Linked DNA regions of Callithrix jacchus. The protein of the gene in region 3 binds, or shares a complex with, the protein of the main gene of each other region. Links are inferred from orthologs where the notes say so. Each region holds a gene or a part of one and is shown on either strand. Other genes may lie near its edges. The genes, in order: F7, NOTCH1 and POGLUT1.

Evidence for each region.
Region 1: the proteins of POGLUT1 (region 3) and F7 are in contact, whole or in part, in a crystal structure (PDB 5L0S), measured with the Homo sapiens proteins. The link is inferred for Callithrix jacchus from reciprocal best matches to the Homo sapiens genes POGLUT1 and F7. Residues at the interface, in NP_689518.1 of Homo sapiens: Met103, Phe104, Pro105, Ser106, Arg107, Arg132, Asp133, Pro171, Ala172, Trp174, Pro178, Thr179, Thr214, Asn239, Gln240, Ala241, Val274; in NP_000122.1 of Homo sapiens: Asp108, Gln109, Cys110, Ala111, Ser112, Ser113, Pro114, Cys115, Gln116, Asn117, Gly118, Gly119, Cys121, Gln126, Ser127, Tyr128, Arg139, Asn140.
Region 2: the proteins of POGLUT1 (region 3) and NOTCH1 are in contact, whole or in part, in a crystal structure (PDB 5UB5), measured with the Homo sapiens proteins. The link is inferred for Callithrix jacchus from reciprocal best matches to the Homo sapiens genes POGLUT1 and NOTCH1. Residues at the interface, in NP_689518.1 of Homo sapiens: Met103, Phe104, Pro105, Ser106, Arg107, Asp133, Gly170, Pro171, Ala172, Val173, Trp174, Pro178, Thr179, Gly180, Thr214, Asn239, Gln240, Ala241, Val274; in NP_060087.3 of Homo sapiens: Asn454, Glu455, Cys456, Val457, Asn459, Pro460, Cys461, Gln462, Asn463, Asp464, Ala465, Cys467, Gly472, Glu473, Phe474, Val485, His486.

The regions. Positions count from the first base shown.
Region 1 is NC_133502.1:28,571,498-28,581,861, reverse strand, and holds part of F7 (coagulation factor VII), read right to left. Parts: intron 5,795-10,364; coding exon of another isoform or gene 5,772-5,794; coding exon 5,586-5,771; intron 3,928-5,585; coding exon 3,787-3,927; intron 2,363-3,786; coding exon 2,253-2,362; intron 1,505-2,252; coding exon 1,381-1,504; intron 791-1,380; coding exon 195-790; 3' UTR 1-194. UniProt on the Homo sapiens protein: Initiates the extrinsic pathway of blood coagulation. Serine protease that circulates in the blood in a zymogen form. Factor VII is converted to factor VIIa by factor Xa, factor XIIa, factor IXa, or thrombin by minor proteolysis.
Region 2 is NC_133502.1:184,968,908-184,979,271, forward strand, and holds part of NOTCH1 (neurogenic locus notch homolog protein 1), read right to left. Parts: coding exon 10,285-10,364; intron 9,794-10,284; coding exon 9,640-9,793; intron 9,548-9,639; coding exon 9,363-9,547; intron 8,852-9,362; coding exon 8,719-8,851; intron 8,384-8,718; coding exon 8,126-8,383; intron 8,050-8,125; coding exon 7,937-8,049; intron 7,339-7,936; coding exon 6,767-7,338; intron 6,573-6,766; coding exon 6,153-6,572; intron 4,778-6,152; coding exon 4,629-4,777; intron 3,909-4,628; coding exon 3,692-3,908; intron 3,513-3,691; coding exon 3,425-3,512; intron 3,346-3,424; coding exon 3,180-3,345; intron 2,274-3,179; coding exon 1,978-2,273; intron 732-1,977; coding exon 584-731; intron 491-583; coding exon 393-490; intron 1-392. UniProt on the Homo sapiens protein: Functions as a receptor for membrane-bound ligands Jagged-1 (JAG1), Jagged-2 (JAG2) and Delta-1 (DLL1) to regulate cell-fate determination.
Region 3 is NC_133516.1:83,322,939-83,333,302, forward strand, and holds part of POGLUT1 (protein O-glucosyltransferase 1), read right to left. Parts: intron 9,974-10,364; coding exon 9,830-9,973; intron 3,847-9,829; coding exon 3,711-3,846; intron 918-3,710; coding exon 796-917; intron 1-795. UniProt on the Homo sapiens protein: Dual specificity glycosyltransferase that catalyzes the transfer of glucose and xylose from UDP-glucose and UDP-xylose, respectively, to a serine residue found in the consensus sequence of C-X-S-X-P-C.

The DNA.
Region 1 (10,364 bases), on a different chromosome or scaffold from region 3:
TTTATTAGTCTCTTCGAGTCTCTCCATGTCCTCAGAATGTCTCCCTCAGTCTCTTTCTGTCTGTCTCCCTCCCCACCCCTCCACCCCTCCCATGCCCTCCTCTACTCCATGAACTGCAGAAGAATCGATGGGGTTTGGTCCCAGGACAGCTCTACATGGCCCCAGCTTTCTCTCCATGGGGCAGGGCTGCTGGGCTAGGGAAATGGGGCTCGCCGGAGGATGCCTGGATGTGGCTCTGAGTGCAGGAGCTTGTGCAGCCACTCGGTGTACTGGGAGACCCTGGTGTACACCCCAAAATGGCCCACGGCTGCACAGCCCTGGCCCCAGCTGACGATGCCTGTCAGGTACCACGTGCCCCGGTAGCGGGTGGCGTGTGGACCTCCACTGTCCCCCTTGCAGGAGTCCTTGCTGCCATCCCGGTAGCCGGCGCAGAACATGTACTCCGTGACATTTGGGTAGCCTCTCGTCTTCTCCGACTGCTCCAGGCAGTCCTGGGTCATCAGCCGGGGCACGTTGATGGCCATGAGCTCCAGGGCCTTGGCGCCACGGTCCAGCAGCTGACCCCAGCCGCTGACCAACGAGAAGCGCACATAGGCCAGCGTCATCTCAGAGAATGTCTGCTCAGGCAGGCAGAGGGGCACCACGTGGTCAGTGAGGACCACAGGCTGGTGCAGGCGGAGCAGTGCGATGTCGTGATTGGTGGTGCCCCGGACATACGTGCTGGGGATAATGACCTGCACCACCCGCTGGCTCTGCTCGTCCCCATCGTGCTCGCTGAGGTCGTGCTCACCTGGAAGGAAGGAACCCCACTCAGGGCTATGCCACCGCCTGCAGCCCCACCCTGGTGCATGGGGACAGGCTGTGGCCATTTTCACATCTGCAGGGGCTGCAGTCTCCTTTTGGGGCCAGGGGGCCTGCATCGCACCCCAAGGGGACCTGGCAGACCCGCCCCAGTGGCAGCCTGTGGCTCGTGGGGAACATGTGAACTGGGGTGAAACTGCGGCCTGGGTGTTGGGGTAGGGAAGCGGTACTGGGGCCTGGCAGCTGGGGGGACAGGGTGTACCCCGATTCTTCAGTTCTCGGCCTGGTGGCCCTCCTGGGAGTGATCATCTTGCCCATAAATCCAGCCACCTGGTGGGCCCACAAGGCTGTGGGCGTTGCACCCTCCTCTGGGCTCTTGGGCAAGCGAGGCATGATGGGCAGAGCCCCCAGTCTTTTACCATTTTATTTGGGCATGGGAAAGTGGCTGAGGATGGTGGCCAGAGCAGGCATGCCCAGCTTTTGGAGACATCTGTCTGTCTGTGGAAGTGACAGCGTGAAGCCCAGAGCAGTGGCCCCTGGGACTGAGAGCTGCCGTCAGGGAGAGAGGGCAGCACCTACCCAGCACCGCGCTTATGTTCCTCCAGTTCTTGATTTTGTCAAAACAATGAGCCGCGGAGACCACCCAGCTGGTGTCGATCAGGGTCCCCCCACAAAACATAGCTCCATTCTGCACCAGCAGCACCTGTGCGGGGCACAGCAGGCGTGGAAGTCACACTGCTGTCAGTTTCCCTGATGACTCACCCTCCTGGGCACCACAAGGGACCTCTGGCGTCGCACAATTTGGTTCTGCAATCCTCGGGTCTTTGCAGACCCCTCCCGGGCAGAGCTGCTCAGACCCGGCTCTGGTGGGCTGAGCCCCTCTCTGGCTAACCCAAGCCCCTCTCTATGACGCATGCTCTTGGGTACAGTGGCTCTGGGGGGCTGAGCCCCTCTCTAGCTGACACATGCTCTTGGGTACAGTAGCTCTGGGGGGCCGAGCCCCTCTCTAGCTTATGCATGCTCTTGGGTACAGTAGCTCTAGGGGGCCGAGCCCCTCTCTAGCTGACGCATGCTCTTGGGTACAGCCTAACAACACAGATGTCGCTGTGGGATTTCACTATTCACCTCACAGGATCTTCACATAGTTTTGATCCAGTGCTCCTGACTTTGCAAAGCTCAGGCAAGGATTCTAAAGAGTGACAGGGAGGATGACATGACAGCTCGGGTGGGGAGCCTCGCTGGGCTCTTTGCACAGGGTAGACCCTCAGTGAGTGTCGCTTTCTTCTCTCCTTCGCGGGGTGCAGCGAGCTGGAGGTGCTGGGTGGGCTGACGTGGAGCCTGGTGGGCCTGGGCTGACCTGCCTGTTTCCCTTCCAGAGCTGTTGTCCAGCTCACATTCAAAAGTCTCCAAGCCCCTCAGGGCTCAGAATCCTGAGGCCAGGGAAGTCTTACCTGCCATGGACACTCCCCTTTGGGGCACACCCTGCCCCCCACAATTCGGCCTTGGGGGATGCTGGCATTTCTTTTTTCTAGAATAGGTATTTTTCCGCATGGATATTCAACTGTGTAAAACAAAAGTCAGGAAGATGCAGAGATCTGTGAGGAGTGTGCCCCAAGTTCAGGCTCAGAAGCATCCTTGCTCTGAGAGGCTTGAGGCCGAGGTTTCGGGAGGCCCCCTCGCAGGAGCTGCCAGGTCCCAGGGGTAGGGGAGGGCAGGGCCTTGGCTGGGCCTGGCTGGTGGGGCTGGCCCATGAGAGGCCCTGGCAGAAGCAGCTGGCTGAGCAGACAATGGTCAGGGCTGGCTCTGGAGGAAACGGAGGGCCCTACATCTTGAAACCACCCTCTGCTCACTGTTCAGGGGGACGATGTGTTGCTTGACTTTACTAAAAGGTTAATGAAATTCTGCCTAAAGATGAATCAACAGCACAAACAATTGTGTTGTTCTGATCCCACGCTGAGTTTTCGATCTGCTCCAATTAAGGCCTTGGGCCAGAAAGAAAATCCGAGGAGGTGGCAGGCTGAGTTCTAGGCTGTATGGCTGGGGTGGGCACATCTGCCTCTGAGAGACACAGCGGACATGAGGGGGCCCTGCTGGAGACGGAGTGGGCGTGGGGTGACCCTGCCTGAGACAGAGCGGGAGTGGGGTGTCCCTGCCTGAGACAGCGGGAGTGGGGTGTCCCTGCCTGAGACAGCGGGAGTGGGGTGTCCCTGCCTGAGACAGAGTGGGAGTGGGGTGTCCTGCCGGAGACAGAGTGGGAGTGGGGTGTCCCTGCCTGAGACAGAGCGGGAGTGGGGTGTCCCTGCCTGAGACAGAGCGGGTGTGGGGTGGCCCTGCCTGAGACAGCGGGAGTGGGGTGTCCCTGCCTGAGACCGAGCGGGTGTGGGGTGACCCTGCCAGAGACAGAGGGAATGGGGTGTCCCTGCCTGAGACAGAGCGGGAATGGGGTGACCCTGCCTGAGGCAGAGTGGGGGTGGGGTATCCCTGCCTGAGACACAGCATGCGTGGGATGTCCCTGTCTTTGGAAGTGCAGCCCATTAGCTCCAGGCTGGTTTGGAGAAATGTCCCATTTTCCCAGGAGCCTTTACCGGGTTAGGAATGCAGAGTGGGGCAGCAGTCAGTAGACACTGGCTGTGTCCAAGCAGATTCACGAACCCTGGTGGAGGTCCCACAAGTCGGGGTGGGATGTGAGACAATGCCTCGCTTGTCTCCCCTGGCCTGTCTAGAATGGGCAGGGGGGCCTGAGGCCATTCAGGGACTGCCCCAGGGTGCCCATCCCAGGCACTATGGCTCTGGCCTGTGCCACCTTGGTGCCCAGATCCCGCCTCACAATTGGTCAGCGCATAGTGGGTGCTCAGTAGATGCAAAGCCACCCCTACCCATCTTTTGTCCAGTAAGATAATCCGTGGTGGGACAAAGACTGGTGTCATCTGGGACTGGGGGTCATCTGGTACATGAAACCACAAGCAGCCCCTGGGGCCTGGTCACCTGTGGGCATGCAGGACACCCCATCTGCCAGCAGTGAGTATCCCTCGTGGCACCGACAGGAGCGCTTGGTGCCCGCGTGGTCGCTGCAGTACTGCTCGCAGCCGCCGTTCTCATTTATGCAGATCAGCTGGTCATCCTTGTCTGAGGACAGGTAGGGGACAGCTCGAGAATGGCCCCTTGGAGTCAGTGAGAGCCAGCCCCGGGGGTAGCCGTGCCCTGGGTCAGCAGCTGCCTGGAAGGTAGCACTCAGCCGTGGGCGACAGAGACTGAGCTTGGCACCAACTGCTCCATGGATTGATCCAAAGGACCAGGCCTGGATCAGGAGTCACATGTCTGAACAGCCTTGCCAGCTGGGGACAGCGCTGGCTGCAGTTGCATTTGGGGGGATGCCTGGCTGGTGGGCAGTGGCCTCCAGGGCGACCGCTCTTCTAAGCAGCTGATGGGGAGCTGAGGGAAGCCTGGAGGAAAGTGAAAGTCCCATGGGGACAATACAAGTGTCCAAGGGACTTCCAGTCAGGGATCCAACTGGCAGGAGGACCAGAGAGCTGAGACAGTTCTCCATGCTGTCCTTGTGCCTCCATGAGCCAGCCTGGGGACAGTCAGCCCCAGCACTGGCCATGGGCTCAGACAGAAGACACAGAACCGGCAGCCCGACTTTGCTTGATGTGGGCAAGGGGAGTGGTCCTGAGTAAGCCCAGGACTCTGGGGGGAAGGCTGCCCTGCGGGATGCACACCAGAGCTGCTGGGCACCGGGGCTGCTGGGCACCAGGGCTGAGCAGAGCTCTGAGATGTCCTGGGCCCAGATGACCAGCAGGAAGCCTTTCTCCTCAGTCTCCCCTACTCTGCTGGGCTCTCCTCTGCTTAAATTAGAAAGTGGCTGCTGCCGGAGAGAGCTCATTCAGTGTAAGAATGTGGACTTGGATGGTCAGGGAGAGAGGGCAGCCTTTGCCTTGGCTCCTGGGAAGTGACCGCTAAGCCCTTGGGAGGTCCTGCCTGAGGGAATGTTGTTGTTTACCCAGGCCGTAGGCCATGCTGGACAGTCTAGCTGACAATGTGACACATGGCGGGGCCTAGGGCCACACTAACAGCTTGGCCTCTGGAGGGACTGGAACTTAGGTCAGCCACATGGGGGGGTCAGCTGGGTCTTTGTGACTGAGCCCTGATAAAATCTCTAGACACCAGGGCTCGTGGCACTTCCCAAGTTGGCCGTATTTCCCACATCTCGTCACAAGTCGCTCTGGGAGAATTAAGAACTGTCCACATGACCCCACAGGGAGAGGACAATAGGAAGCTTGTGCCTGGGCCCTCTGCAGACTTAGGGCTGCATCCTTTGCAGTAATACACAGTAACGGTGAGTGTATCCACTTCAGTGGGTTCTGAGTCCTTCCGATGAATGACTGAACCCAAGGGAGGTTGGGGGCCCCCACTTGGCAATAATTTAATGTTCAGAAGGGAAAACCTTCAAACCTTTGTAATGGGAAGTGTTTGGCCTGGTGGGATGTGGAAGTGGGACAGGGACACTGGGACTCTCAGCTGGGCCCTCTCAAGGGCTGAGAATTTCCCGGGGCCGGGAGCCCAAGGGGCCGCTGAGTCTGAGACTTAGAACCCTGGGTCCCTGGATCAAAGACCTGACTGGAAGGAACTTCAAGGTCACCCACACCAACTTCCAACTGGGGCTGACCCCAGAATGCCCGGTCCACACACCCCACCATGGTGCACCCTGTAGCCCGCTGGGCTAGGCCACCTCCACCAGCTCCCCAGGGCCCTCTGCAATTATGGGACCCAAAGTGGGACCTCACTTGTCTCACAGTTCCGGCCTTCGAAGCCAAGGAGGCAGAAGCAGATATAGGACTGGAACTGGTCCTCACAGGAACCCCCATTCTGGCATGGACTTGAGGCACACTGGTCCCCATCTGTGGAGTGGGCTGGCGTCAGGACACTGCGGAGAAGGCTGCAGGCAGCATCGGTGGGCGATCTACTCACCACTGTAAGAAATCCAGAAGAGCTTCTGAGGGAGCAAGAGAGGAAGCACGTGAGCCACACCTTCACCAGAGCACCACCAGCAAGCCCTGGACAAAGCACAAGCTAGGGGCGGGGGCTTAGACCTGGGCCTGGCGGGGTGGGCTCAGGAAGCCAGACTTTCCTCTGGAGCCGAGGGAGGTTTCTCCTCATCTCAGCCCCTCCCCAGGACATCTGGAACTACGGGTAAGCACACATTGTCTGCTCCCAAGTCAGAACAGCTGGGGTTCAGCCCTGACTCTTCTGTTGCCGAGCTGTGGACCTGGGGCGAGGGACACAGGCTCTGAACCACAGCTCCACCTCTGACAGGGCAGCCACACACACAGCTGCACGGGGAGAAGGTGTAGTAGCAGATGAAAAATATTCCACAAACTACAAAAGCGCTCCGCAGAAAAAAGTGGTTGCTGAAGAAACTGTTGGTCATCAGAACTCAAACTCACAGGGTGCTGTGAGAATATAACAGATGAGAACTGCTTTGAAAACTAGGTGTAGAAAAACGCTAGGCATGACCATCCTCCATTTGCCTGGAGAGGGCCATGTTAGCCTGTGTCTCAGCTCGATCTCCTGTGAGTGTCAGGCTTCCTGTGAGTATGAGATGTCCTGTGTGAGGTGACTTGTGCCTATGAGATGTGGTTCTCTGTGACTGTGAGGCATCCTGTGTGAGACATCCTATGAGTGTGAGGTGAGAGATCTCACACAGTGAATGTCAGACAGTCTATGAGTGTGAGGTGATCTGTGAGTGTGAGGTATCCTGTGTGAGGTGACCTGTGAATGTATAGTCTGTCCTGTGAGTGTGAGATCTGAGTGTGAGGTATCCTGTGAGTGTGAGGTGATCTGAGTGTGAGGTGATCTGTGAGTATGAGGTGATCTGTGAATGTTTAGTCTGTCCTGTGAGAGGTGACCTGTGAGTGTGAGGTGATCTGTGAGTGTGAGGTGATCTGTGAATGTGTAGTCTGTCCTGTGAGTGTGAGGTGACCTGTGAGTGTGAGGTAGTCTGAGTGTGAGGTGACCTGTGAATGTGTAGTCTGTCCTGTGAGTGTGAGGTGACCTGTGAGTGTGAGGTGATCTGTGTGAGGTGACCTGTGTGATGTGATCTGAGTGTGAGGTGACCTGTGTGAAGTGTGTCCTACGAGTGTGAGGTGACCTGTGAGTGTGTGATATGATCTATGTGATATGATCTGTGGGGGGAGGTGATCTCTGTGATGTGATCTGAGTGTGATGTGATCTGTGTGAAGTGTGTCCTGTGTGAGGTGTCCTGTGAGTGTGAGGTGACCTGAGTGTGAGGTGTCCTGTGATTGTGAGGTGACCTGTGAGTAATATGATCTGTGTGAGGTGATCTGTGAGTGAGGTGACCTGTGAGTGTGAGGTGATCTGAGTGTGAGGTGATCTGTGTGAAGTGTGTCCTGTGAGTGTGAGGTGACCTGTGAGTGTGTGATATGATCTGTGAGGGGAGGTGACCTGTGTGATGTGATCTGAGTGTGATATCTGTGTGAGGTGATCTGTGAGGTGACCTGTGAGTGTGAGGTGACCTGTGAGTGTGAGGTGATCTGTGTGAAGTGTGTCCTGCGAGTGTGAGGTGACCTGTGAGTGTGTGATATGATCTGTGTGATACGATCTATGAAGGGAGGTGACCTGTGTGATGTGATCTGAGTGTAATGTGATCTGTGTGAAGTGTGTCCTGTGTGAGGTGTCCTGTGAGGTGACCTGAGTGTGAAGTGACCTGAGTGTGAGGTGTCCTGTGAGTGTGAGGTGATCTGTGTGAAGTGTCCTGTGAGTGTGAGGTGACCTGTGTGAAGTGTCCTGTGAGTGTGAGGTGATCTGAGAGTGAGTGTCCTGTGAGTGTGAGGTGACCTGTGTAAAGTGTCCTGTGAGTGTGAGGTGATCTAAGTGTGTGAGGTGACCTGTGTGAAGTGTGTCCTGTGAGTGTGAGGTGACCTGTGTGAAGTGTGTCCTGTGAGTGTGAGGTGATCTGAGTGTGAGGTGACCTGTGTGAAGTGTGTCCTGTGTGAGGTGACCTGTGTGAAGTGTCCTGTGTGATGTGATCTGAGTGTGAGGTGACCTGTGTGAAGTGTGTCCTGAGTGTGAGGTGTCCTGTGTGAGGTGACCTGTGTGAAGTGTGTCCTGTGTGATGTGATCTGAGTGTGAGGTGATCTGAATGTGAGGTGACCTGTGTGAAGTGTGTCCTGTGAGTGTGAGGTGACCTGTGTGAAGTCTGTCCTGTGAGTGTGAGGTGTCCTGAGTGTGAGGTGACCTGTGAATGTGAGGTGTCCTGTGAGTGTGAGGTGGGGTGACCTGTGTGAAGTGTGTACTGTGAGTGTGATGATCTGAGTGTGAGGTGACCTGTGAGTGTGATGTGATCTCAGTGTGAGGTGATCTGAGTGTGAGGTGACCTGTGTGAAGTGTGTCCTTTGAGTGATGTGACCTGTGAGTGTGATGTGATCTGAGTGTGAGGTGATCTGAGTGTGAGGTGACCTGTGAAGTGTCCTGTGAGTGTGAGGTGACCTGTGTGAAGTGTTCTGTGAGTGTGAGGTGATCTGTGTGAAGTGTGTCCTGCGAGTGTGAGGTGACCTGTGAGTGTGTGATATGATCTGTGTGATACGATCTATGAAGGGAGGTGACCTGTGTGATGTGATCTGAGTGTAATGTGATCTGTGTGAAGTGTGTCCTGTGTGAGGTGTCCTGTGAGGTGACCTGAGTGTGAAGTGACCTGAGTGTGAGGTGTCCTGTGAGTGTGAGGTGATCTGTGTGAAGTGTCCTGTGAGTGTGAGGTGACCTGTGTGAAGTGTCCTGTGAGTGTGAGGTGATCTGAGAGTGAGGTGTCCTGTGAGTGAGGTGACCTGTGTAAAGTGTCCTGTGAGTGTGAGGTGATCTAAGTGTGTGAGGTGACCTGTGTGAAGTGTGTCCTGTGAGTGTGAGGTGACCTGTGTGAAGTGTGTCCTGTGAGTGTGAGGTGATCTGAGTGTGAGGTGACCTGTGTGAAGTGTGTCCTGTGTGAGGTGACCTGTGTGAAGTGTGTCCTGTGTGAGGTGTCCTGTGTGAGGTGACCTGTGTGAAGTGTGTCCTGTGTGATGTGATCTGAGTGTGAGGTGATCTGAATGTGAGGTGACCTGTGTGAAGTGTGTCCTGTGAGTGTGAGGTGACCTGTGTGAAGTCTGTCCTGTGAGTGTGAGGTGTCCTGTGTGAGGTGACCTGTGAATGTGAGGTGACCTGTGAATGTGAGGTGTCCTGTGAGTGTGAGGTGACCTGTGTGAAGTGTGTCCTGTAAGTGTGATGATCTGAGTGTGAGGTGACCTGTGAGTGTGATGTGATCTCAGTGTGAGGTGATCTGAGTGTGAGGTGACCTGTGTGAAGTGTGTCCTTTGAGTGATGTGACCTGTGAGTGTGATGTGATCTGAGTGTGAGGTGATCTGAGTGTGAGGTGACCTGTGAAGTGTCCTGTGAGTGTGAGGTGACCTGTGTGTTCTGTGAGTGTGAGGTGATCTGAGTGTGAGGTGATCTGAGTGTAAGGTGACCTGTGTGGTGTGACCTGTGAGTGGAGGTGACCTGTGTGAGGTGACCTGTGTGATGTGATCTGAGTGTGACATGACCTGTGTGAAGTGTGTCCTGTGAGTGTGAGGTATCCTGTGAGTGTGATGTGATCTGAGTATGAGGTGATCTGAGTGTGTGACCTGTGTGATGTGACCTGTGTGATGTGATGAGTGTGATGTGATCTGAGTGTGAGGTGACCTGTGTGAAGTGTGTCCTGAGTGTGAGATGTCCTGTGAGTGTGGTGTCCTGTGAGTGTGAAGTGTGTCCTGTGAGTGTGATGTGATGAGTGTGAGGTGATCTGTGAGTGTGAGGTGATCTGAGTGTGAGGTGACCTGTGTGAAGTGTGATCTGTGAGTGTGAGGTGACCTGTGTGAAGTGTGTCCTGAGTGTGAGGTGACCTGTGAGTGTGAGGTGACTTGTGTGAGGTGATCTGAGTGTGAGGTGACCTGTGTGAAGTGTGTCCTGAGTGTGAGGTGACCTGTTAGTGTGAGGTGACTTGTGTGAGGTGATCTGAGTGTGAGGTGACCTGTGTGAAGTGTGACCTGAGTGTGAGGTGACCTGAGTGTGAGGTGATCTGAGTGTGAGGTGACCTGTGTGAAGTGTCCTGTGAGTGTGATGTGATCTGAGTGTGAGGTGACCTGTGTGAAGTGTGTCCTGTGTGATGTGATCTGAGTGTGAGGTGATCTGTGAGTGTGAGGTGATCTGAGTGTGAGGTGACCTGTGTGAAGTGTGATCTGTGAGTGTGAGGTGACCTGTGTGAAGTGTGTCCTGTGAGTGTGAGGTGATCTGAGTGTGAGGTGACCTGTGAGTGTGATGTGATCTCAGTGTGAGGTGATCTGAGTGTGAGGTGACCTGTGTGAAGTGTGTCCTGTGAGTGTGATATGATCTGAGTGTGATGTGATCTGAGTGAGGTGACCTGTGTGAAGTGTGACCTTTGAGTGTGAGGTGACCTGTGTGAAGTGTGACCTGTGAGTGTGAGATGTCCTGTGAGGAAGCCCCAGGTCCCTACACTTTGCTTCTCCCGGACACGT
Region 2 (10,364 bases), on a different chromosome or scaffold from region 3:
AGTGACAGAACAGTGTGATAGGGGCTCCATTCCCCACGCCAGGCTGTGCGCCCTGCCCACTGTTCCCCACGCCAGGCTGTGACTACACTGTGACTGCAACCCAGGACAGGGCTGGGTCTACCGGGTGACTGCCATGTCCTGACAGTGGACATGCACTTGGGAGGGCTCCGTAAACAGGGGCTGAAGGAGACGGGGAGCACTAAGGAGGTGCCGGCACCATGCAGGCGGAGCCTGTTCTCGGGCCCAGGAGTCCTCGAGACCCTGTGGCTCAGGCCCTCGCCTCCCTGTGCCCCTTGGATTTGGCTCTCGCTTCCCTGAGCTCTGTGGGTTCAGACCTCTCATCCCCCAAGTCCCCTCTCTCGTCCCCCTTTGCGCCCTGGTCTCACGCTCACCTTGTTGTTCTGCATGTCCTTGTTGGCCCCATTCTTCAGGAGCACCACTGCGGCATCCACATTGTTCACAGCGGCAGCCCAGTGCAGGGCGGACTTGCCTGCGTGAAGGAAGCAGATGGGGTGGGTTGGAGACCAGCGGGCAGGAGCCCGGTCCGACCCTCCCTGTGGCAGGCCTGCCCCCGAGGGCTTACCCAGGTCATCTACGGCGTTGACGTCAGCGTGCGAGTTGATGAGGTCCTCCAGCATGCCCTCCACGGCCAGGCGGGCAGCCAGGATCAGCGGTGTCGTGCCATCGTGCATGCGGGCGTCCAGGTCTGTGGCTCGGTTCCGGATTAGGATCTGGGTCACAGGGAGAGGCTCGGGCGGGTGCCGGGCAGACACACACCGATACCTCCTGCCCAGAATGTATGCCTGGACCGGAGGCCCCACTGCCCTCCAGATACAGAGAAGACCCTCCTGAGATCTGCATGGCCGGGCAAGGCGGGATGCCATGGGCTGCCCCTGAAGAGGGGCCAGGCGGGGGTAGGGGCTGTGCTGCTCCCCCTGGTGACAGTGGGGCCCATCGTGACCTCACGTGGCCTCATCTAATCCTCACCGTGGTCTTAGCTGCCATGACCACCTCCAAAACAGAGAAGTCAAGTCCCTGCCTCCAAGAGGGAGCACTCATGAGGCCCTGCACACGGCTCTACAGCCGACTTAGAACCACCCACAGAGAGGCGGGCAGCCCTTCAGTGCAGCCTGGCCTGGGCCTCCGGTGGGAGGGATGGACCCTGCTCACCAGCAGGTAGAAAAGGCAGGGGCCACTGGCCATGCAGCACGGGCCTGATTCCTGCAAAGCACCTGGGAACTTCTACATCTGTGCAAAGGCGCTGGGAGGGGCACACACCAGGCCTACACAGGGCTCCCCTCGACACTCCTTCCACTCACCTATGTTTATTTCTGCGGGATGACAACGTGTCCCAAGCTAAGAAATCATGAAACCAGAAGCTGTGTGGTGACCGCCCTGGGCTGTGCCCATCTGAACCTGCTCTGGGGCCACCTGGAGCCTGGGGGCCTACAGCAGGGGTGACCCCAAAAGCAGTCCCTGCCAGGGACGTTCCCTGGAGACCCAGGCATCCAAATCCCTAAATCTGTTCTTGCCACGAGCTCGCCAGCAAGCTGAGCCCCAGGTCTGCAGGCACTGAGAGGCAGCCTCTAAACCCTTCTCACTGCCACAGGCTACCCCTGCAGCCAGGGCTGAGGCGGGTGCGGGGCCTCAAGGGGCTTCAGCGGGGGGACCTGGACCTTGAGCAAGGTCCACAACCCTGCCAGAGCCTGTCTTGCTGCGGGTGGGGAGGCCCTGCCTCGCTCAGCAGGTCCCCTGGGCCTCCTTCGGGACCCACCTCTACCTGGCTTCCCTGGAGGATGCAGATGGGCCTGACGCCCTCCCCACTTGATCATCACTGACTTCGAAGGTCCTGGGTGGAGGCACCAGCTGTTCTGGCCTCAGCTGTTCAGGCTCCCAGGGCCATGTAAGCCTGGCCACTGCCCCGGACCACCCACTGGCCCGAGGAGGGCAGTGGGCACCCAGACAGCTGCTGCTTACCTGGAAGACGCCTTGGGCGTCGGCAGACACGGCCGCATGCAGCGGGGTGCGGCCCATGTTGTCCTGGATGTTGGCGTCCGCACTGGCCTCCAGCAGGCGCTTGGCGGCGTCAGAGCGTGAGTAGCGGGCAGCCAGGTGCAAGGCAGTTTCGCCTGTGCGGTCTGTCTGGTTGTGCAGGCTGGCGCCCTGGTAGATGAAGTCGGAGATGACGGCTGGCGCATCCTCCTCCTCCTCACTGTTGCCCATCTCTAGGCCGCCTCCACTGCAGGAGGCGATCATGAGTGGGGTGAAGCCGTCTGCAGGGGCAGAGGCGATGGTGTTCAGTCTGGAGGGCCGGTGCCCAGCTGCAGCCCAGGGGAGGGGGGCAGCAGCCCACAGCTGGAGGGGCCACGGTGTGGCCCCACCACCCAGCACTCAGTGACCCTGAGCACATAGCCACTGCGGGGCAGCTGAAGTCCGCCTGGGCTACTCGGTGGACAGAGCCAAATCCAGCAGTCAGCTCCAGGCAGGCAACGAGACCCCAGCAGCTTGGCTTCCTGACCTGCCCAAGACCTGGCACCCAAAACCCACCCAGGAAAAAACAACGCCAGAAACATGCAGTTAGAAAATCAACACTTTGGCCAGGTGCGGTGGCTCACGCTGTAATCCTAGCACTGTGGGAGGCCAAGGCAGGTGGGAGTTCAAGATCAGCCTGACCAATATGGTAAAACCCTGTCTCTACTAAAAATACAAAAATTAGCCAGGTGTGGTGGCGGGCGCCTGTAGTCCCAGCTACTCGGGAGGCTGAGGCAGAATAATTGTTTGAACCCGGGAGGTGGAGGTTGCAGTGAGCCGAGATTACACCACTGCACTCCAGCCTGGGTGACAAGAACAAGATTCTGTCTCAAAACAAACAAACAAACAAAAAAAAAAACAGAAAGAAAGAAAATCAATGTTTTCCATGTCTCAAGAAGAAGGTTTCAGAAGAGATTAATTTACAGGTGCAGAGTCAGCCTGCAGCATCACCCAGGAAGGCATTGCTGGAAGAACAGGATGACTCCAGGACCCCCTCAATCCACTCTGAATGGGAAACACCCCAAGGATGAAAGCTCTCGCCCCCAACTCTAAGTTTGCAGAGTATCAACTGTACCACAGCCTTGGGGCTTTGGGGAGAGGGAGGTGGGCCGTGGGGCTGGGGAAGTCCTGGCTGCTGGCACCCCTACCAGGCCCTCGGACGTTGACATCCATGCAGTCGACATCGACCTCGCCCTGGGGCGGTGTGGGGGCCATGGCCGACATGCGCAGGTCAGCGGCATCCAGGTGCTGCTGGGTCCACTGCCGGTGGTCTGTCTGGTCATCCAGGTCAGGCAGAACCACGGGTTCCTCGAACTAAGTTGGGGGAGTGAGCAGAGTCATGTCAGGGCAGCCGGTGGCAGGAGCCTGGGGGCCCAGGAGCCCAGCGACTCACCCGGAACTTCTTGGTCTCCAGGTCCTCGTCCCCCCACTCATTCTGGTTGTCATCCATGAGGGCACCGTCTGAGGCGTTCTTCAGGGGCCTGAGGGTGAGGGGTCAGAAAGTGAGGCGGAGCCAGCTCCCTAGGAAGCCCCCAGAGGCCCCTGGCCCAGGCCTGGCATGGGAGGTGGACCCTGGGTCGGGAGGGTCAGACCTCCAGTGAGGATGCCTGGCCAGGTCTGCTTCCCCCGACCCCCAGAAGCCGGGGCAGCGTCCGCTCACTTGAGGCCCACGGAGTCCTCGCCAAGGGGCTCCCGCCGCTTCTTCTTGCTGGCCTCGGACACCTTGAAGCCCTCGGGGAACCAGAGCTGGCCATGTTGCCGCCGGCGCTTGCGGGACAGCAGCACCCCACAGCCCACGAAGAAGAGGAGCACAAAGGCGGCCGCCGCCACGTACATGAAGTGCAGCTGCGCCGGCGGGGGCGGCTCCACGGTCTCACCTGCGGACACAGAGGACGGCGGCAGGCGCCTGGACATCAGGTGGCAGCTACGCAGCAGGCTGTCGGCTGGGGGGCAGCGGACTGGTTCCGCAGCTAAGCGCCTCCTCACCCGCTCTCCTCCATCCCGCCCCCCAAAATAAGGTCATTTTCTACGCGATTAATCAGAATTGCAAACTATCGCTAAATTCTCTCCTGCAGCAGCCGACTCTATCTGGAGACGGCTTTTACTTTTTTCTCCTTTAAGGGAGGAGGATTAGTGAACTTCAAATCGCAGCACTCGCATTGAGCTGTTAAGACAAAGGATTTAGGGGGATTTTCAAGATACAAACTTCAACACTTCACATGACACCGATCAATTCTTCTCTCTCTCTCTTTTTTTTCTTAAAAAAAAGCCGTAATGATTTTGAAATAATACCCAACAAAGAATAATCAGGGGGAAGGGGTGGGGAGAGAAGAAGGCACCCGCTTTCCCGTGGATGGGCTCGTTCCCGAGTGGCTTCACCAGCAGCTGTCACCGCCACAGGTCGAGGCGGAGTGCCATTCAGAAAATTCCAGAAAAGCGCTACCCCATCTCGGAAGGTGACTTGCACATCCATGGGTGGCAACTGGCACAAAGAGCTAGCATGTTTGGGGCACGGGGAGGGGGTGGTCGCATCCCCTGCAGGGGGAGCCTGTTCCATGCCGTGCTGGGCTGGGGGCAAGGGTGGGTGCCGTACTTACTCTGCACAGCCTCGATCTTGTAGGGGATGTTGAGGCTGCCTAGTGAGGCGAGCGCCCCCAGGAACGCAGCCACGTCGGTGGCGCTCTGGAAGCACTGCGAGGAGGCCTGCACACACTGCCGGTTGTCAATCTCCAGGTAGACGATGGAGCTGGGGGGACAACCGGGCAGGGGCTGGGACCCAAGGCTTCCTCCTCCCCTGCCCGCCAGTCCAGGATGATGCCCCCAGGACACCGAGGCCCATGATGCAACAGTCAGGACACCACAGGGCAGCCTGGGGCGGAGGGAAGCCAGGTCTGACGGCAGCTACCCCGGAGGGGACCAGTGTCCTGCAGCCCCCGGCGTCTGGCCAGTGCCGATCGCAGCTCATCCCCGGTAACTGCCAACACGCTCTCCTTGCCCCACCCTGCCACCCTCTCTGGCTCCTTTTGGTGCCACAAACACATTCCTCATCTCAGGACAGAGTATGTGCCAGGAGCCCAGTTCTCTCCCAGGAGCCCAGTTCTCTCCCAGGAGCCATCCCCAGGCCCTGTGGGAAGTGCAGATGTGCGGTGGGGGCGGGCGCAGCTGTGGTGGGCTGTGCGGTGAAGGGGGCTGGGGGTGATCCCTGCTCCCCAGCGGGGCTCCTGCTGCCCAAGGCTGGGTTCCCGTGAGCAGGATCCCATCCAGCCTGTGAGATGATGCTTCTGACCTCCAGAGCTGCCCCAAGGCAGCAGAACTGATGAGCAAACCCACCAGGATCAGGCACATCAGGGGCACAACTGACCTGGCCCCTGGGTCCAGCTGTCCCAGAGGGAGTAGACGGGGGCGGGAGCCTTGTGGGTGTCCCTTGCACTCAAGCTGCCCCACCTGTGTTCTCCTACCATGGGACCCCCTTCCCCACCAGCTCCTCCTTTGTCTATAAGGTCCCTCCAGGACCTCTACCTGCCTCCTCTCCAGCCCAAACCAGGCAGATGCCATGGCCAAGTGGCATTCTTGTCTGGGGTGGGTCTGTTTAGCCCTGTGGGAGCCCCCAGAGAGCTGAGCTTTTTGTTTTTTATTTCTTTTAATACTTTTTAAAGAAAGCAGAGACAGGGTCTCCCTATGTTGCTAAGGCTGGTCTTGAATTCCTGGGCTCAAGGCAAGGGCTCCTCCTGCCTCAGCCTCCAAAAGTGCTGAGATTACAGGCATGACCCTCCTCGCCTGGCAGAAAACTGTGTTTTAACATTGTAGTACCCAGTGTCTGTGGCATAGCTCAATCTCAAAATTACCCACTGGGCACAGGAGTGAAACCTACCCAGCCTGGGGAAGGCAGTGGCCCAGGGAGGGGTGTGGCTGCGGGGTCAGGGCCCTGAGGTGGAATGCTGCCTCTGCTCCTTGCCCATGTGGGCCCTGAAGTTCCAGGTCCTCTCGGAACCTCTGTCTCTTTTACCGTAAAATGGAGAGAGTACTGCTTGCCCTGGCACCGGCCACGAGGGGCAGAGGAGCCATGGGGGAGATCCCAGGTGAAGTGCCGGGACTGATGGCAGGTGCTGGGTCTCACTCACCCGCGGATGTCCATGGGGTCCAGCTCCCTCCGCCGCCGCCCACCAGGGAGCAGCGAGGCCTTCACCTGGCCCAGCAGGGAGCCGGGTGCGGCCCAGCCCTCGGCAGCACGCTTGATTGGATGCTTGCGCAGCTCCTCCTCGCGGCCGTAGTAGGGGAAGATCATCTGCTGGCCGTTTGCGTCGCGCTTGAAGACCACGTTGGTGTGCAGCACGCGGCTGAGCTCGCGCAAGAAGTGGAAGGAGCTGTTGCGCAGCTGCTCTGGCGGCATCAGCACCACCACCACCAGCGTGCCGGCCGCCAGCCTCTCGGGCACATGCTCTGCACAGTCCAGCCCGTCCCACTCGCACTCCGCGCTGTTGCAGCCCTGGTCGCAGTGCCCGTCGCTGAAGTGGTCCTTGCAGTACTGGTCGTACAGGGGACTGTGGGGGTGGAACACACTCAGGCCGCCTTCCTCCGGGGGCCTCGCACCCAACCCCGGATGGTCCAGCCTGTGGACCGGCCTCGGGGAACATCCCTGCACCCGCTGGACGGAGCTTTGGGAACTGCATGCTGGCCACGTCCGAGTTCGGGTCTTCCCTTGCCCCCACGGGGACGGCCCACCCCGCAGCCGTACTTGCACTGGCCTTCCACGCGCTGGCAGTCGAAGCCGTCGAAGAGGCAGCCGGCCGAGTTGCACTGGCTGTCACAGCGGCCGTCGCTGAAATATTTCCAGCACTGCAGAGACTGCGTGCAGTTCTTCCAGGGGTCGTTGAAGTTGAGAGAGCAGTCGCCGCCATCCCAGCCACACGCGTGGTTATTGCACTGCAGGCTGCAGGCCTTGTTGCCCGAGTCCTCCCGGCACTCAGGCAGTTCACATGCCTCCTCGATCTGCGGCGGGGGGATGTCGCGCCCGGCCCCACCCCCAAAGCTGTAGTCCAGGATGTGGCACAGGAGCCCGTTGAATTTGGCAGGGCACAGGCAGCGGTAGAAGGGGCTCTCGGATGTAGGCTCACAGGTGCCCTGGTTGTAGCAGGGGTTGCCACCCAGGCAGGGGCTGCTGGTGGGAAACTGGCACTCGGGGCCCGTGAAGGGGCCCAGGCACAGGCAGGTGGGGCTGCGTGGGCCGGAGATGCAGGTGCCACCATTGAGGCAGCGCAGGCTGCCACAGGCACGTGCGTCGTTCTCACACGTGGCGCCCTCGAAGCCCTGCCCAAGAGGGAAGATGGGACAGTGTCAGGGTGGGCCACCCCTGGCCACCTCAAGCTCAGCACCCAGCCTCCCTTGACCTGGGAGGCAGCCTGCAGCCTTGCCCCCAGCAGCAAAACCCTTTACAAAACATTCTGTAGATGGAGAAAGATTAGGGGGTTCCAGGGGGTCGGGAGATGGAGGAAGGGGTAAATTGGTAGAATGCTGGGGACTTCAGGGCAGGGACTGTCTGCCCTGATCCTTCGAGGGTGGGAACGCGTGTCATACCTCAACCCAAGCCCACAACCACAAAGCCAAGGGCAAGCTGCAGGTAAAGGAAGGGCTGGTGCTGGTAACAACGTCTAAGTGCTGTGGCTCACAAGTGAAACTGACGCAAGCTGCATGCAGGGGAGCCGCATGCAGGGGAGCCGCCCCAGGGACTCTACCTTCCGCTCCATTTTTCTACAAACCTAAAATCTCTCTAAAACTCATTTATTCAAACTAAAAAAAAATGACATCGGAGTGACATGGCTGCCCCGCTTGCGCCCCGAGGCCCACATCTGGACCTCTCCAGGTGCCTCCCGGGAGGGTCCCCATCCCCCTGCACCCTGGCACCTACCGAAGGGCACTTGCAGATGAACCCGCGGGCAGTGTTGGAGGCCACGGCACAAGTTCCCCCGTTCTTGCAGGGCTTGCCCTTGCAGCCATTGATGACTGACTCACAGCGGCGCCCTGCGGGGGAGAGCCCGGCAGTGAGAGGCTCACCCTGCCGCCCTGTGGGCCCCACCCGCCCGGGCATGGCACCCACCGGTGTGACCGGCACGGCACTCGCAGTGGAAGTCATTGACGCGCTGCACGCAGTTCTGGGTGCCGCGGGCGTCACAGGGATTGGAGAGGCACTCGTTGACGTCCCCCTCACAGCGCTCACCCACGAAGCCCGGTGGGCAGGTGCAGCTGTAGCCGCCCACCTGGTCCACACAGGTGCCGTTGTTAAAGCACTTAGGGCTCCGGGACACGGGGTCCATGGCGGGGTTGCAGTCGTCCACGTTGATCTCGCAGTGCACACCTGTGGGGCCAGGTGCCATCAGAGGCCTGTGCTCACCACACCTCTGCCCTGCCGAGCCCTGTCTTCCTCCCAGATGACAAGTGCTCTGGTCTGGGGCTGCACGGATGCTCAGGAGAGGCAAGTGCCAAGGGTGCAGGGGAGACATCTTTCCCGCTGGGATCCCTGCTCTGGGCCCCTTCCCTGGGCAGCTCTGTACTGGCCTTGGCCTCACAGGAAGACGGAGTTTCTGGGTGGTTCCTGGATACCTCTGGCCGATCTCAGGGTGCCTGCCCTGCCCCCGCCCTGGCCCTGGCCCTGGCCACCCAGACGCCAGCCCTCCGTGCAGTGGCCCTTACCCTGCGTGCCCCGTGGGCAGGAGCACTTGTAGGTGTTGGGGAGGTCGAGGCAGGTGCCCCCGTTCTGGCAGGGGTGGGAAAGGCACTCGTTGATCTCCTCAGAGCAGTTCACCCCGTGGTAGCCGGCCACACACTGTGTAGGCGAGAGAACCGGGGGCTCAGCCGGGGCCAGGATTTGGCACTCCCCCCCTCCACTGTGAGGGCTGGCAGGGCCGTGTGAGCTGCCCTCAGGTCCCATGAAGCATGGGCCCCTCGATCCTGTCAGACCTGGAGAAAGAACCCCCCGCCCCGCCACCCTCAGCAGACCCTGGTGCGGCCTCGGTGACCAGAGTCACTGTCTGATGGGGCTGGGTGGACCCCGTCCTGTAGGATAGAGGTGAGGGCCTCTGGGTAAGTGCTGGCCAAGCCCAGATACAATCTAGGGGAAGAACCCCCTCCCACTTCTTAGCATATTCACCCTCCTCCAGGCTCTCCACAGGCCACCTCTTCCAGGAAGTCCACCCCGATTACCCCAGCCCTCCCTTAACGATCCTGGACAGTGCGTGGGCCTATCAGGTCTTCTCCCCTGTGCCAGCTCGCAGTCAGGGCCTGGTGTGTGGCAACACAACCGGCCACAACCCCCACTCTACAATGGGGGCCCCCACCTTGCAGGAGTAGCCGCCCAGGTAGTCGGTGCAGGTGGCCCCATTCTGGCAGGGGCTGGGCGAGCACTCGTCTACCAGGTCCTCACAGTAGCTGCCCATGTAGCCCGCCTGGCAGCGGCAGTGGTGCGTGTTGCCGGTGTCCACACACAGCCCCCCGTGCTGGCACAGATGGGCAATGTCAACACCTGTGGGGGATGGGGTAGGGGGGCAGGTGAGGCCCAGGCCCACGGAGGACCTCAGTGGGCTGGGACCTGGGCGGTCGGGCACAGCAGGTTACCTTGCCGCTGGGCGGCCACCTCACAGGAGACGCTGGGTACGTCACAGTACAGGCCGGTCCAGCCACTGGGACACTCGCAGCGGTACTGGGTGTGGGTCTGCCAGCATTTGCCCCCGTTCTTGCAGGGTGAGGAGTCACACCAATGCACGAGGTTCTGGGGACAGGCTGGGGTCAACCAGGTGCCTGCCCCCGGGCCATCCCTCCAGGTCACCCCCCAGGCTACTCACCAGGGCACCCCCAGGCCATCCCCCAGGCCACTCTGCCAGGGCACCTCTAGGCCATCCCCCCAGGCCATCCCCTTCCCAGTTCATAATGCATATCGGCCAAGGAGCCCCATTCCATCCTGTCCCATAGCCCACTCTACAGAATTGGAAACTTCGGCCTCTGGACTCCCCACCGCCCCCACACCAGGATTTCCTAATTCCTGAGCTCCCGCCCTGGCTGCAGAAATCAGGGATTGAACAAAGACGCCTGCTGCTCCCACATCAGATTCCCTCACTGGCCGCTCAGATCCCTAGAAGCCCTCCGCCCAGGGGTGTGGGGGCCCCAAGCTGACACAGTTGGGCCTGGGGGTGACCATTCCCACCCCCCACAGGCAGGCACGCACCCCAGGCCCTCCTCAGGCACCTGTGGCTGCACACTCACCTGGCAGTTGGGGCCAGTGTAGCCCTGGGGGCAGGTGCACCTGTAGGAGCCACAGCTGTCCTGGCAGGTGCCACCATGCA
Region 3 (10,364 bases):
AAGGGCTCTTCCTGCCACTGAGGACTGCAGCCCTGTATGTTTCTTCAGGAAGGGAGCATTCCCTTACCTCTTTGAATTTTCAGCTGCATTTAGTAGATGTGATGGGTATTTATGGGAACAAGGTTGAATTATTTGCTTTCCTTATACCTGAGGGAAGACCTATAATGACTGTGTTTCTGAAAGTTTCTTAATTAAGCACCAAAGTTGTTTGAATCATCATGTAAAATGTAGCTGGGTAAGAAATACCTACAGCTTGGATGAGCTACACAATCTAAATTCTGAAATGATAGCAGAATGGAGTCAACAGGCCAAGGCACGTCTGTCATGAATCAGAGAGAATCTGGAATAAGCTTATACCTGAGATTCTTATGGGGCATTTATGATCCTTCAGTCCTGCCTAAAGAACTTGGCTCTCAATTGCCACGTATGTTTATGTTCTTCCAAATAATTTTCTATCCTCCCCTGTGACACCGTCATTCATTTTTTTCTTATTATGAAAGTAATTCACTCTTATTTAAAGACTCTTAAATATAAAAAAATTTAAAATAGAAAACAAGTCTCTGATAATCCCTCCCAGAGAGGCATTGCTGATAGTTTAGGATAGGTTATTCTGCCCTTTCTATGGATAATGTAAATATTTTTAGACACATACCAAATTGTTTATGCTACTGTTTGCTGTCTTTAATTTTTAACTTAAAAATTAGTCATTTAAAAGTAAATAATTGGTTATATTCTATGGCTTATTTCAAGAAAACCCAGAAAGAGGAAAAAATAAAACCTCTTTAAAGGACCTACCTCACCAGATCTTCTCTGAAGAGGTCCCACCGTCCAAGACCTGTAGGATAAATTGGCCAAACAGCAGGTCCCCCTTCCCAAAATGTCCAAGCAGGATACATGATATCATGGTACTCTGATGTCTTCAACAAAAACAGACAGGTCATTCTAAATCAGTCTTGGAACAGAGTGAAAAGAGGCAACTGCAATCATGCCACAGGATCTGGACAGCCTTGGTTTAGTGTCATATTGCCAAAGATATATTTTCCCTATTCTGCAAAGTCTAGCCTGTAGACATTAAAAGGCAAAAGTGATCATGGATTAGAAGTCATGGGCTCACTGAAGTCTAGAATTTAGAATCACAAATTAAAGGTCAACTTTTTCAGTTCCCCCACATCCTGTTTTTCTAGAAGATGTATACTGTTAAGGTTTTCAATTTAAGGAAACACTATTCCCAACTCTAAATAATCACAGAGCTCTCTCATTGTTTAACTCTTACACTTAGAGTTCACACTGTCTTACCAGTTTTTTGTTATTTCCCAGTGGGTTTTTTTTTTTTTTTTTTTTTTTTGAGAGTAGGAGCCAAGAAATACAGTGCAATGGTTAAGACTGTGGGCTGTAGAGGCAGATCATTGCTGACTCCACCTCTCTACAGCTCTAGCAAGTTACTGAATGGTTCTATACCTCAGCTTCCTTATCATTGTAATGAGGGAAACAATAATATCAATAATATGATCTACCTAAAAGGCTTATTTTGAATATTAAATTAGTTGATAAATCTTAGAACAGTATCTGGCACATTGTACGCACTTGATAAATATTAGCTAGTGTTATCTCATGCTGTGGGCTCACATTGGTTGGTTATTCATTGATCAGGGTCAGAAGTATGGATGAGCAGAATGAGAGGAAGGGATGTTATCATATATCTTTTGAAAGAAGTTTGAGGCCTGGCACAGTGGCTCATTGCCTATAATCCCAGCACTTTGGGAGGCTGAGGGGGGTGGATCACCTGATGAGACCAGCCTGATCAACATGATAAAACCCTGTTTCTACTGAAAAATACACAAAATAAATTAGCTGGGTGTGGTGGCAGGCACCATAGTCCCAGCTGCTCGGGAGGCTGAGGCAGAGAATTGCTTGAACCCAGGAGACGGATGTTGCAGTGAGCTGAGATTGTGCCACTGCACTCCAGCCTGGGACAGAGAGAGACTCTGTCTCAAAAAAAAAAAAAAAAGAAAAGTTTGAAACCATTTGTTCGTTTTTAGAGTTACTTCTGTTAAAAATTTGGCCACTGATAAACCTGTAACTCTACTGTTTCTTCCACTGGAAATACATGTGCAATATGCTGTTTACTTTCTCTCAAATATGTAAAAAATGATGTGATTCATCAAGCACCTTCAACATGACAACTATTCAACAGAAGCTGCACAATTAACTATAAAGTTGACAGAGTAAAACCCTCCCTTGGAAACTAGAAGTCACTGATTTAAAAAACAGGAGGGAAGTAAAGATGAACAGAAAGTTGGTAGACCTGTGGTCATACTCTATTATCCACAGAAACAATAGATAGATACCAAACATGAAGTCCCTACTGCCTTACATGGAAGCCTCTATCTATGTTTCCGGGTGAGTTTCAGAACAAACAATGGAACCAAGCACTTTTGAGAATGAAGCTAGACATGGGAAATGCAGCACAAATGTGGCCTCTGCCCACTTGCAACACAGGAAATAAAACAAGTCTAGGGGGAAAGTAAACTATTATAAAGAAGAAGTGGGGCTGAAAGTTCCCTCTGCTTTGGACAAACCAAATCAGAGATAGTGTTCATTCTCCCAAATTCCATGGGGTTTTCCTCAGTTTACTCTTACCCCATAGAATTTTCCATTCACTCTATTCCAGCCTCTCCACCACACCCCTGAATACTTTCCTTGTTTTTGGGGAACCAATGCCTATCCCTTCCAATACAACATGTACATGAACCTGAGCACTGACAAGATATTCCTTGCCCCCAATTCCCCAAGCCCACAGGTGTGTTCTAGCTACTTCAGTCTTCCATGATGAGTTTAGAAGATCACCCCCTTGCATAGCCTCTAGGCTATCTCAGGCCTATCCTTCCTATGCAATGTTTGCACACAACCCGTGTGGAGTTATTGAGCACCTTCAGGTTCACTTTTAGCCATGCCAGGCCCCTGGAATATGGCGACAGATGAAACAGATGATACCCAGCACTATGGCTGACTATATACATAGGAGTAGCTCAAAAAACGTTTTTTTGTTGTTTGGTTTTTTTTTTGAGACGGAGTTTCGCTCTTGTTACCCAGGCTGCAGTGCAAATGGCATGATCTCGGCTCACCGCAATCTCCGCCTCCTGGGTTCAAGCAATTCTCTTGCCTCAGCCTCCCGAGTAGCTGGGACTACAGGCATGTGCCACCATGCCCAGCTAATTTTTGTACTTTTAGTAGAGACAGTGTTTCACCTTGTTGACCAGGATGGTCTCAATCTCTTGATCTCATAGTCCACCCGCCTCGGCCTCCCAAAGTGCTGGGATTATAGGCGTGAACCACCACGCCTGGCTCAAAAAACATTTTTTGAATGAAGGTATTCCCTAACTCTAAGCTTTCTTGAACTCTTTCCTTCTATGCTCTATAGGATCTTTGAGTCCCACCTCTAATTCCTGTAGGTTTCTCAGGGCTCTCACACCCTAGCCTCCATCCCTAGCCTTAAAGAGACTCAACCAATGTTATATGACTTACCAGTTCTCAACTCCATCTCCTCTTTTGCTCAATCACTGTGATGCTAACAGAGACACAGACCTATTTCCGGACCTCAGTCCTCATCCTTACCATTACCCATCAAACTATATCACAGGACAATGATTTCATGCTCACATCCTAGAGGACCACCCTCCATTCCCTCTTGTGGCTCTCCCTGTACTTACCTTACTGAAGGAGAAGACTGGGATGGCAGGTTCCATCCATTTAGGAACCTGAGGATAATCTCGTACATTGATCACCATCTCCATGTCAGGGAGACGCCTGATCACTTCCAAAATAAAGTGCTCAACACCACTACACCTGTCAATGAGAGATACCATAAATTCAGCAGAGCAGTGCCTGCAGGCTCTAGGACAAGGTGAGGTACCCTTCACATTTTAAAGTAAGACAAGGCAGTGTTCCAAATCATAAGCCTATTGCAAAGTCTTCTGAAAGCAATGCTTTTACAGGGGCTATTCTGCTTTTTTATATTGTGCAAGTTCACTCCTAGTTAAGCTGCTCCAGCTTACAATACTTAATAAAATTTTCCAAATAAATCATCATAGCTTTGAAGGGAATACTATTGCTATTTCTACCACTTTATTCATTCCAGTTCTTTTTTTTAAATTTCCCTTTTATGGTATAGTTTAATTAGCAGACAAGATACAAACTCTTGTAGCAGCTGAAATAGCAAATTTTCTAACTGTGTTTCTTTGGCTTTGCTTCTCACTAAGACACCATTTTTATTTCCATTGTAATTAAGTCTCCTAGTTTATGAGAACAAATAGAAAACCTTTCATTACTTTCAACCTGAATAAAGAACAATATCAAAATCAGTTCTGCAAGCCAGAAAATCTGTTATATACATAATCATAAATACTGTAACATAGCTTTATGACTAGATTCCCTAGAAATCCTCAGAGGATTTCTTGAAAGAAAAAGATACACTGACAGTTTAGCTTGTTTCTGCCTCATCCTTTGAGGTCCTGACCAGCACTATGCTAGGGGCAGCTTGATCAAAATTTTCTAGCAGCATGGAAATGACTGATTTAAAATAATGTCTTACTACTTGGGAAGCTTAGGCAGGAGGGTTCTTTGAGCCCAAAAGTTCTAGACCAGCAACATAGTAACATAGTGATACAGTAGGCAATGTAGTGAGATGCCCTAGCCAAAAAAAAAAAAAAGTTTTATATATAGAGAGACAACTGCAAAAAATATCAATGGTTCACAAACATAGGAAAAGATGTTCAACTGTATTATTAATAAAGAACTATTATCTTGGCACTTGTGGAGGTCGAGGTGGGCAGATCATGAGGTAAGGATACCGAGACCATTCTGGCCAACATGGTGGAACCCCGTCTCTATTAAAAATACAAAAATTAGCTGGGTGTGGTGGTACACACCTGTAGTACCAGCTACTCGGGAGGCTGAGGCAGGAGAATCACTTGAACCCGGGAGGCAGATGTTGCAGTGAGCTGAAATTGCACCACTGCACTTCAGCATGATGACAGAGCAAGACTCCATCTCAAAAAAAAAAAAAAAGAAAAGAAAAAGAAATATCAATGATGCTAGATACCAATTTTACCAATCAGATTGGCAAAGATCAAAAAGTCTGACAGTGCACAGTGTTGGTGAGGGTGTGAGCTCTATTCACAGCATGTGATATAAGGGTTGTGGAAGTGGTTAGCCTCTTTGTAGGACAATTTGCTTCTCTTTACCAAGATTTCTCCTTTTCTTTTTTGAGTCAGGGTCTTGCTCTGCCCCCCAGGCTGGAGTGTGCAATGGCATGATCATGGCTCACTGTAGTCTCAAGCTGCTAGGCTCAATCTTCTCACCTTGGCCTCCTGAGTAGCTGGGACTACAACTGTGTGCCATCACACCTGGCAAGTGTGTGTGTGTGTGTGTGTGTGTGTGTGTGTGTAGAGACAGAGTCTTGATATGTTGTCTAGACTGATCTTGAACTCTTGGGCTCAAGTGATCCTCCCACCTCAGTCTACCAAAGTGCTGAGATTACAGGTGACAGCCATTGTGCCCCGCCTATTTATCAATTTTTTTTTTTTTTTTTTTTTGAGACAGAGTCTCACTCTGTGGCCCAGGCTGGAGTGCAATGGCATGATCTCGGCTCATTGCAACCTTCCCCCAACGTGCCACCATACCCAGCTAATTTTTGTATTTTTAGTAGAGATAAGGTTTCACCATGTTGGCCAGAATGGTCTCAAACTCCTGACCTCAGGTGATCCACCCACCTTGGCCTCCCAAAGTGCTGGGATTACAGGCATGAGCCACTGCACCCAGCCTGTTTGTCAAGATTTAAAATGACATTAATTGGCCTAGTTATGATATTTCTAAGAATTTAGCCTACGTATATATTTACATGAGTGTTGATGGTAACAAGGATATTCACTGCAGTATTGCTTTCATTATCTAAAAAGCAAAATGATGTGGTGAGGGATAATTTAAATGTCTACTAACAGAGGGCTGAATGAAGAAATCCACGTAATAAACTATTATGCAGCCACAGAAAGTGAGGTATTCTCTACGGACTTGTATGGAACCATCTCAAAATCTGCTGTTAAATGGAAAAGAAATCTAAGTGCAGAACAGAAGATAGAGCACGTTCTAGTTTGTTGATGAGTCTAGATGCTTATATATGGATAGACTATTTCTAGAAGGATATACAAGACCCATAATTCTAATTGTCTTTTGAAAAACAGTCTCAGGAACTAGAGGTCTGAGGGTCGGAGGTGGAAGAGAAACTTCCTTTTCACTGAATGTCTTTTGGAGTTATCCAAATATTTTAGCACACGGTAAAATAGATATTAATTGATAAAATAGATATTACCATCAAATAGATAGTAAAATATTTGGATGTTTTACATATCCAAAGTGCATGTAATACTCTGACACTAAAGGAAAAACAAACTAGTTAAAAGTTTTTTTAAAAGTTGTGGTACAATTTAAACATTACAGCTAAAACACTCATATTTCTTCCAAATTTGGCTTTTAATTTAATTTTATTAATTGTTTTTCTTTTTTGAGATGGAAATTCCTTCTTGTTGCCCAGGATGGAGTGTAATGGCGTGATCTCAGCTCACTGCAACCTCCGCCTCCCAGTTTCAAGTGATTCTCCTGCCTCAGCCTCCCCAGTAGCTGGGCTAATTTTTTTGTGTATTTTTAGTAGAGACAGGGTTTCACCATGTTGGTCAGGCTGGTCTTAAACTCCTGACCTCAGGTGATCCACCCTCCTTTTCCTCCCAAAGTGCTGGGATTACAGGAGTGAGCCACAATGCCCGGCCACATTTAGCTTTTAAAATAGTACTGTCTCATGATTCCATTTATAGAAAACTCTAGAAAATTATAGAAAATAATCTATAATTTGAGAAAGCAGTCAGCGGCTGCCTGAAGGTGGGACATGGAGAGAGAAGGCAGACAGGGGGATACAGGAGATAGTGAATGCAAAGAGGCACAAGGAACATTTTGGTTGAGATGAAAGGGTCATTATCTTGGTATAAACATACATGAGGACTTATCAGTGCACACTGTATTTTTTATTTTTAATTGATAAATAATAATTGTATATATTTACAGGATATAATGTAATGTTTTGATCTGTTTATATTATGGAATGAGTATATCAAGCTAATTCACATATCCTCACATACTATTTTTTTGTTGTGGGAACATTTACGTTATATACTTTATATGTAATTTATGTTAACCCCACTAAAACTGTTATTTAAAAAATACCATTACTTGTCATCTTTGAAATGACTTGTTTCTATCATTAATTAAACCTCTGGTTCTTCTGCTCCTCCTTGAAACGTGGAGTTTATATTTTATTTGAAGCTGAATTTTTAAAATGTCACACAGGTTTCTGAAACTGGATGAATTAAAAGTATCTAGACCTAGAAATACATTTCTAGCTAGATAGGAATCTTTGAGATACCATACAACTGTATGCATTTCATTAAGGACTATGTTTTGGAATGCTGTATTCTATTTGTATTTTGTCCCTCTCTGTTTTCCTTAGTTATATGTGTAGCTACGATAGGGAACTTTTAGTGTCAATGGAAATATACATTATTCTATTGCTAATGAAAGGTCCTGTGCTCCCTTTAGAACATTTCTAAGCTCACAATTCTGATCAAAATGCTCTGAGCTCGGGAAGAAGAGAATTGTGCCTTTCAGAAACTTTGAAAGTATTTAATTTCATATGCCAATTGTTCAGCAAACTATTAAACATTAGGTAAGCTTTCAAAGTCCAACATGTTTATATTCTTATTTTATTTCTCATTTGTGGAAATTAAAAATTCCCCTAGACTCATAATTTATATTTAAAGTCTCTATTATTGAGTCCCAAATAATGAAACAAATGTCTGTTTAAAATACCTTAATCATTTTTTCCACTACAACCTTATTTCCCCTGATACCTGATAGCCACAGGGTAAGTGATTTCCTCAGGGTTGTGGGATATTAAATAATCTTTCTTTTTTTATTGTTCTTCTTTTTAAAAATTTCTTTGAGACAAGTCTCACTCTGTCACTCAGGCTGGAGCACAGTATCATCTGTTTCCTTTAAGGAGGGTGCAAAGTTGTTCTAACAGATTTCGTTACAAGGGTACCAACTGGCCGCTCCCAGCATAGATGGTTTTTTGAGTTCGCCTCTTTTTTTTTTTTCTTCTTTTTTGGCCTCACTTCGTATGAGAGAAACTGCTTGAGTGAGGGAGGTGAAAGGAGTCCTGGAGGGTGTTCTCTGAGGTTTTCCTCACCATCCTCATTAGCCACCTGAGGAGGGGGCAGAGGACTGAAGTAGGACAGAAGGTCTCTGGTAGCTAGAGGAGGGGAAAATCAGGGGGATCCCCCACTTTCTTCACACCCAGGACGCAGGGTGCCGCTGCCGGCCACAGAAACCCCAAGAATGCCCACAGTGGCATAATTATGGCTCAGTCTCACTGCTGCCTTGACCTGCTGTGCTCAGGTGACCCACTCACTTCAGCCTCCCAAGTAGCTGGGACTACAGACACATGCCACCACACTCATCTAATGTTTGTATTTTTTGTAGAGATGAGGTTTCACCAATGCTGTCCAGGCTGGTCTTGAACTCCTGAGCTCAAGTGATCTGCCTGCCTTGACTTCCCAAAGTGCTGGGATTATAGGCACAAGCCACCGTGCCCAGACTGTTTTCTTGTTTATAGATTTATAACAGAAAATATTAAAATAAAACGAAGTTTTTATTAAATACAAATACTATAAATCTTTATGTACAAATTGATGCATTTATTTTCCAACTCTGCACATTTATTTTACTTTTAATGACAGAATAGGGGTTGTTTAGAAAGATGGTCTTAGATTAAGGGAATATTATGCCCTCCGAGTTTTATATCTTACTATTTTATAAAGAGTTGAGTTAAAAAAAAAAAATCCAAAAATAAGGTTTTTTTTTTATGTGTGCAATGATGCCTAAACCCAATCTCCACACTTAGCCCATGACCATCCCTGCCTACCACCCTGCCTTCAGCCCACTGACATGGTACCTCAGCTCTCACATCTGAAGTCCTGGCTAGTATAATCTGCAGCATCAGTTGCTCCTCTTTTGTTTTTTTATCTTTTTAAGTCAGGATCTCACTCTGTCGTCTAGGCTGGAGTGCAGTGGTGCGATCTTGGCTCACTACATACAGCCTCTGTCTCTTGGGCTCAGGCAATCCTCCTGCCTCAGCCTTCTAAGTAGCTGGGAGGATAGGTGTGTACCACCACACCCTGCTAATTTTTGTATTTTTTGTAGAGACAGGGTTTTGCCATAATCCAGGATGGTCTCAAACTCCTGGGCTCAAGCAATCCACCACAAAGTGCTGGGATCACAGGTGTGAGCCACCACATCCCATCTAGTTACTCCTCTTGACTCCACCACCTGTCCTTGAATAGTCAGCATCTAGAACTATACTGGCCCATGACAGACATTCAACCAACTGTTCCTCCTCCTTCAGCCCAGCACCCTCCTTCTGGGCCTGCTAAGCCTCATCAGACTGTGTCCTGCAGCCACTATATCCCAGGGAAGGAGCAGAAGAGGCAGAGCCACTGACAGTACAACCAGTGATGAGCCAAGCCTCACAGAGGAGTCAGGCTTTGAGAGGAGCTCACAAGAAAAATCCCCCAGCAAGGAGAAGAGCTCGTTACTATTTTGCAGTCCCCCTGAAATGTGAGGAGGGATTTGCTTGTTAGTTCCCTGAATTAGCTTCTCTGTAAAGGGTATCAAGTAAGCCTATATATAATAAAGTCAGAAGGTATATCTACCTAATAACTCTTACCTTGAGGGGAACATGCAGTCATTTTCCCGGTATAGTCTGTTCTTAATGATCTGATAGTGGGTCCCTAGCTTCCGTCTGACCACCTCTGCCATCATCTTCCTGGAGATACCTCCTCGGAAAGGAGTTAGATCTTCTTCTATGACGCTGGGAAGGAATGGGAGTCATCAAGGAAAGCAGGTACCATTCCACCTACTTCCTAAGTGCATTTAGGTTTCATATTAGAGAACACCATAAGCGGAAGGAAACAATTGAGGGTGAGAATGAGCAGCTCTTCCCTAGAAGCCCTGAAGGTAAACTGAAACATCAAAGGCAATAAAGCAACAAAAAGTAAAAAGCCGGTCAATGTCTCTTCTTTCTCCCTCCATCTGGATTGCCCCTTTATTCCTCTTTCGCTACTCATACCACACCTGTGTCCTTCTAGTCACTTCAGTCCTACTGGCATCTCCTTCTCCCAATCCCACAGGAAGTGAAGTTTATGCCTGACAGTCTAGCACTGACTCTCTTGTTCTGGTCTGTCTGGTCTGCATTCTCCCCT